Linked DNA regions of Arabidopsis thaliana. Each later gene encodes a partner of the first gene's protein in a complex. Each region holds a gene or a part of one and is shown on either strand. Other genes may lie near its edges.

What was found. Proteins that work in one complex are often made in the same cells at the same time.
Region 2: rps8 (region 1) and PSRP3/2 share a complex: the UniProt entries of both Arabidopsis thaliana proteins name them as parts of the 30S ribosomal subunit.

What each region holds. Positions count from the first base shown.
Region 1 is NC_000932.1:79,413-82,475, forward strand, and holds rps8 (ribosomal protein S8), read right to left. Parts: upstream 1,061-3,063; coding exon 656-1,060; downstream 1-655. Other genes in the region: rpl36 (ribosomal protein L36), read right to left, coding at 77-190; rpl14 (ribosomal protein L14), read right to left, coding at 1,284-1,652. UniProt on the Arabidopsis thaliana protein: One of the primary rRNA binding proteins, it binds directly to 16S rRNA central domain where it helps coordinate assembly of the platform of the 30S subunit.
Region 2 is NC_003076.8:5,141,341-5,145,098, forward strand, and holds PSRP3/2 (Ribosomal protein PSRP-3/Ycf65), read left to right. Parts: upstream 1-1,649; 5' UTR 1,650-1,759; coding exon 1,760-2,026; intron 2,027-2,280; coding exon 2,281-2,565; 3' UTR 2,566-2,752; coding exon of another isoform or gene 2,753-3,202; 3' UTR 3,203-3,266; downstream 3,267-3,758. Other genes in the region: AT5G15750 (Alpha-L RNA-binding motif/Ribosomal protein S4 family protein), read left to right, coding at 109-242, 364-471, 951-1,025, 1,130-1,361; GNA1 (glucose-6-phosphate acetyltransferase 1), read right to left, coding at 2,753-3,202; AT5G15780 (Pollen Ole e 1 allergen and extensin family protein), read right to left, coding at 3,558-3,758. UniProt on the Arabidopsis thaliana protein: Component of the chloroplast ribosome (chloro-ribosome), a dedicated translation machinery responsible for the synthesis of chloroplast genome-encoded proteins, including proteins of the transcription and translation machinery and components of the photosynthetic apparatus.

The sequences.
Region 1 (3,063 bases):
ATTTCAGGTCAAAATAGACCCTTTTTTCCAACTCTTTGGAAGTGCCTTTTCTTTTACTTTAGTTCCTTTAGTAAGATTATCCTTGTCTTTGTTTATGCCTCGGGTTGGAACAAATTACTATAATTCGTCCCCTCCTGCGGATTAGTCGACACTTTTCACAAATTTTACGAACGGAAGCCCTTATTTTCATAGTTGTTATTCCTTAATTCTGTGAATATATTTATTGGTGGACGAAAAAAAGGTTTCTTGATATTTTTGAATCTTGAATTGTATCTTCGTGAAAGGAATGGTTGAAATTGAAAAAACACTTACTCATTTGAATACTTATTATGGAGTCTAGAAAATGGCTGTCCCCTTATTAACTTATACTTAAGAACTTACTCAAAATTTTACCTTTTTATCCTATAGGTATACCTATACAAAAATATGTCGAATCCTTTCAGAAGCATGAACGAAAAAAAATCTTTAGTATCTAAACAAAATCGAACCATGCCGTTCGGAAGTGATTAAGAAAGAAAACTTTTATTAATTCATTTTTTCTTTAATTTCATTCGAAGTAAAACATCCGAAACTTTTTTGAACAGGGGTGGTATTACACAACCCCCTTTTTTCACAAATTGTAAGTTACAGATATCTAATTTTTATATTAGAAGGATTACCATATATAACACAAAATTTCTCCGCCGATTCTTTTTAGTCGAGCTTCTCGGTCTGTCATTATACCTTGAGAAGTCGAAAGGATTACAATTCCTATTCCGCCTAAAATTCGTGGAATTCGTTGAGAGTTAGAATAGATTCGTAGACCCGGTCGACTTATTCTCTTTAAATTTAAAATCGTTTTGTAGGATTCTTTCTTATTTCGTCTATGTCTTAGGGTTAAAATCAAAAAATATTGGTTGTTTTCGCGATGTTTCCTTACGTTTTCGATAAAACCCTCTCGTAAAAGGATTTTAACAATACTTTCCGTGATGTTAGTCGATCCTATCCGAACCGTTCCTTTTCTATTCATGTCAGCATTTCGTATAGAGGTTATTATATCAGCAATGGTGTCTTTCCCCATGATAAGTTAAAATTCCTTATTGTTCTATAATTTTGATATAATCAACATGTTCTTTTTCTTTTATTTATATATAGATATAGACGAATTATATATTAATATATGAATTAAATTCTTAATATTTTATTATTAAGGGTATATGCGTGATACAGAATCTATTAATTAATTTTATTTCAATACCTGTTTTTTTAATCCGATACTAACTATCGCTATCGATATTTAGATCTTATAATACCTCAGGAGCTAATGAAACTATTTTAGTAAAGTTTAATTGTCTCAATTCCCGTGGGATCGCCCCAAAAACTCGAGTTCCTTTTGGATTTCCTTCTTGATCAATGACAACTGCGGCATTGTCATCATATCGTATTATCGTCCCATTGTTACGTTTGAGTTCTTTACAAGTACGTACAATTACAGCTCTAATCACTTCTGATCTTTCTAGAGGAGTATTTGGTATTGCTTCTTTGATTACAGCAACAATAACGTCACCAATATGAGCATATCGGCGATTACTAGCTCCTATTATTCGAATACACATCAATTCTCTAGCCCCGCTGTTGTCTGCTACATTCAAATAGGTTTGTGGTTGAATCATATCATTTTTTTTGTATCTCTTCTTTTAATGCAAAGGACGAAGTAAAAAAATATTGTTTGTCAAAAAAAGAAAACTTATAATCTTTTTACCCTTAAATGTTATTTAGTTTTTTCATTATATATTCCTATTCAGAAATAATGAATTGGGTTTTTATAGGCATTTTTGATGCCGCTATTGAAATAGCTTTTCTTGCTATATTTTCGGGTACACCACCCATTTCATAAAGGATTTTACCTGGTTTAACCACAGCTACCCAATACTCAGGGGATCCTTTCCCAGAACCCATACGCGTTTCCGCAGGTCTTACTGTAACTGGTTTGTCTGGAAATATACGTACCCAAATTTTTCCACCACGTCGTACATTTCGTGTCATTGCGCGTCGCCCTGCTTCTATTTGTCTAGATGTGATCCAAGCGGGTTCAAGTGTTTGAAGAGCATATCTGCCAAAACAAATACGATTCCCACGAGAAGATATTCCTTTTAGTCTTCCTCGATGTTGTTTACGAAATCTGGTTCTTTTTGGGTTATAGTTGATGGTTCTAAATTAGAAATTCCATCTCTACTACAGAACTGAACGTGAGAGTTTCTTCTCATCCAGCTCCTCGCGAATAAAAGGACTAAAAAAGCTTGTATTAAGATATAGTTAATGATTAATTCTATTAATCATGATATTCAATTTCATCTGATCTCTTCTAAATTTGTGTATGTCTTTTTCGAAATGGAATCCAAGATTAATTCTATTTATTTAAAAATAACGTAACGTAATATCATCATCTCGAATGTCGTTTTTGTTAGAATATTCTAACAAATCCTTATTTTCTTTTATCTTTTTAATTTTTGTTTTTTATTACTTTTATTAAAAAAAAAGTATTCGCCGGCGAATATTTACTCTTTCAATATCTATATTAAGTTTGTTGTTTATCCCAGGAGATCTCTGAATAAAAATAAGAATAGATAATAATCTGGTTTATTCCGCCATCCTGTCCAATGAATTACTAAGATTTATTTTTCAATAGAATCCTCTATATTCATGGGTTCCGTCGTTCCCATCGCTTCTTGATTAATCATTAGGCCCGAATTCTACAATGGAGCTCTTATATGAAATCGGGAATTTCATTTTTTTTATTTGTTTTTGAGTCAATTTTCTTAGTTTTTATTGGCTCAAGGCTCTTAATTTTTTTTGTTTTCGGAACAGATTTATCTAATTATTCTGAATGAATCTGTATTGATGCTTTATTACATTGCTTTTCTTACAGTGACCTCATAGACTTTCCAAATTGGAATAATATATCATTAATATTCAATTTTTTCTCTCTTTCTTTCATCCTTCCACTGAATCCGCATACTTTTCGATTACCTTTCATAACTTATAATTATAGTTCTTTATTCTTTTTTTTTTTCAGTTGCTACA
Region 2 (3,758 bases), on another chromosome or scaffold:
CCCATTAGAATGTTCAAGGGTTTATGATTATTCAGGATTTCAAATCTGAATTATTGGACAAATAAACCCTAATTTCGTATAATTTGCATATCATCAGTACCGTCCGAGATGAGAAAGCTCAAGTATCACGAGAAGAAGCTTATAAAGAAAGTAAATTTCTTAGAATGGAAAAGAGAAGGTAACCATCGGGAAAACGAGATTACGTATCGATACCACATGGGCTCTCGTGATGATTACAAAAAGTTGGTACCTTTATTTGCTCTTAAAGCTCTGTTCTACTTATTCTTCTTCTTCTGGTTCGAGTGTTTTGTGATGAACAATGGTCTTTTTCTGATTCTTGAGAATGTTTTTTCTTTTGGGCAGGTATTCAGGATTGTGTAGGATGGTGCAGAAACTGACGAATATAATGAAACAAATGGATCCAGCAGATCCTTTTCGTATTCAGATGACTGATATGCTTTTGGAGAAGCTGTGAGTTTTTTAAATATATATACCAGTTTGTTCAAGTATAGAGCTTATTACAAGCAATGGTTCTTTGTTTTCTCTAGATTTAGGTCGTAGAACATGAGACTTGATCATTTTCTGCAGTTTTTTACACCGATCTTATCTTAGAGACCTCCTGTTGTTTTTCTTGTTAACCACTTTTAGAGATAATTAAAATTGGGGGTCCTTATGCTTCTATATAGATTTTAGGACCGTTGGTTTGAAATCCATTAGAGGTTGAATTCATCCTGGTAAAATGTGTGATCTAATGGGTTTCTTTCAGAATCTGTTTCTTGAATAGCTTCTACATAGAGCTAAGTTACTATATAATATAGGCTTATTGTATAGGGAAAAAGAGCCATCCTACTGAAACTTGTTGATTGCGTAGTTCCACTCTGCAATGAGAAAACTTGTTCTCTTAATGGCTGACTGACTTGTGTTTCTTACATGTACGCTTGAAACGGCAGATATAACATGGGTGTTATACCGACTAGGAAAAGCTTGACTCTAACTGAGCGGTTATCAGTTTCATCCTTCTGTAGGTAAGAGTATATGCAAGAGCCTATATAGGCAGTTACTTAAACCCTTGATAGCCAAATGTTCTCATTTCGTTTGCCTCATATCGGTTCTTTTTTTTTATTTGCAGGCGTAGGCTATCTACTGTGCTGGTTCACCTGAAGTTTGCAGAGCACCACAAAGAAGCTGTGACATACATAGAGCAAGGACACGTTCGTGTAGGACCAGAAACAATTACTGATCCAGCTTTCTTAGTAACTCGGAACATGGAAGATTTCATCACTTGGGTTGATTCATCCAAGATTAAACGAAAGGTTCTTGAGTACAATGACACATTGGATGATTATGACATGCTTGCTTAGCTTTGAGGAAGTTAAAAAAGACTGATGTTTTGTAAAAGCCAAAAAAGGTTCACTGCTACTACTATTGCAGGGTTTGTTTGGATTTTTGAATATGCAAATGTGCTACTATTCCCTTGTCTTTAATCTTACTTTCGATCTATTTGCAAGAAGAAACTTGAAAACAAATGTCATGAAAATATTGAATCTAACTCATATTATCGTCAAATTGTATAAGTTGGAGCCACAGAAATGGATGAACATAAAATATTAAATCTAATTATTATTTGACACTTCAAATTACAAAACCCGTTTGATTCGATCCGACCCGACCCGACCAGAAAATCGCAAAACCTGTGTTTTTGCTTTCCCCGGTCTCTCAAAATAAAATTGCTCGCTTAGAAGCTTCAAACGCAGCTGAAATGGCGGTTCAAGCAAATCAGAGTGCTTCTTTTGGGTTCAGAACAGCTTCACCTTCTCAGAAGCTCTCTTCGAAACCCATAGCTCATATCTCTCTATCGACGAAGCTCAAACCCTCTTCTCGACCATCGCTTTCGTGCTCTACTTGGAATCAGGGTCAAATTCCGGCGAGACACTCCTGTATCAATCCCGGAATATTCGCATATCCCCCCTCCAATCTTACCTTCTCTCATGAACTACCAGAATCTGAATCTCCGCCACTTGGAAAGGTCAGTCATCGTCAAAAAACTTCTCTTGGAACAAATTGGGGTTATAAGCTTGTTAGACAAAGTTGCAGCCTTTTTTTGTCATTTGAACGAAAATGTGGTAAACCAAATGTATTGTCTCCATCTATTTAATTGTGGTAGAAGAGGCAGTGTGTGCTAGTGTTAAACCTCCCTTATGTTGCTTCATTGTGAAAACTTTTGTGAAAGGAAGTAGAGATGTATGATTCTTCCCTTGTTATCGTCATCTTATATTGCAGAAGAAGATGCGTGTGTTAGTGAAGCCGCTAGAGAAACCAAAGGTGGTACTGAAGTTTGTATGGATGCAAAAGGACATAGGAGTTGCATTAGACCATATGATTCCAGGATTTGGAACAATCCCACTTAGTCCATACTACTTCTGGCCTAGGAAAGATGCTTGGGAAGAGCTCAAAACTTTGTTAGAGAGCAAGCCTTGGATCTCTGAGCTTCATCGTGTCTTCCTCCTTAACCAAGCTACAGACATCATCAATCTTTGGCAATCAAGCGGTGGAGATTTGTCTTGATTTGGATTCACCAGATATATCTGTTTATCATAGGTATCATTAACTTTTCAAAGTCTAAAGCTTTTGTGTTGTTTAGTCTATCATTAGTCCTCTGTGTAATCATCGAAACTCGAAAAAACTTCTATCATTAAAATGGCGAATTCAAAACAAGAAAACAAAAGATCATCATCATCATCATGATGAACGTTTAATCGAAGTACTTAGACATTTGAATCGATTTATTACTCATCCCACATTTCTCATAGAACACTTTGTTCTCCACACTACAATCTAGAATCACCTTATAGCAACCCATTGATTTGCAATGATCCATAAGAAACTCAACAACTTTCTTCCCCAGCTGTTTCCCGCGAAACCTTGAATCCACAACAACGTCTTCAATGTGCCCAGCTTTACCGCAATTCCTCAGAAACTTCTTCTCTATCATCACACTACCCGTAGCAGCGATTTTTCCCGAAGTTTCTTCTTCGATCACGCAGATCACGTGGTCGTCACCATACGATCTGATTTCTTCGAATCGCCGATCGAATTCTTCGTCTGTTACTGATCCGGTGACGGTTAGTTGACCTAGAAGCTCGATGAATCCTTTTCTCTTATCGGAGATCTCCAGTTTTCGGATCTTGAATGTCTCAGCCATAGAATCAGATCGGATAATTTTGAATTTGAGTTTTTTTTTATAAGATCCAGTCACTCACTGGAACTGAATATAATCACCCATAGAAAAACAAATGTGATAATTACGAAAAGGTACTTATTCTTTTAGATAGTTACAAAAAGTTTCCGAATCTCTTAATGAAGTCAAAATGGGCCATTTGTTTTTTAAATTGACTTTTGATGTAACAAAAGCAGCAAGATAAAAACTCCATAGTAAACAATATTTATTGAAATGACAACAAGCCAACAAGTGAAAATGCAGAGGAAAAAAGTAACAATTTAAAGCGGATGATACATATAGATTACATAATTGGAAATGTAAGGAAAGGATTGCTAATTTAGGGTTGATGGTGACTAGAAAAGGAAGGTGAAAGAGGAGGGATTCCCGGGATGAGAGGGGCCGGAGGGATTCCAGGGATAAGAGGGACCGGAGGGATGCCAGGGAGTCCAGGGACCGGAGGGAGCGGAACAGGGAAAGAAGGTGGTGGTGGCGGTAGTGAAGGCGGATTCACGATAGGGACAGGTGGAAGAACCGGAAG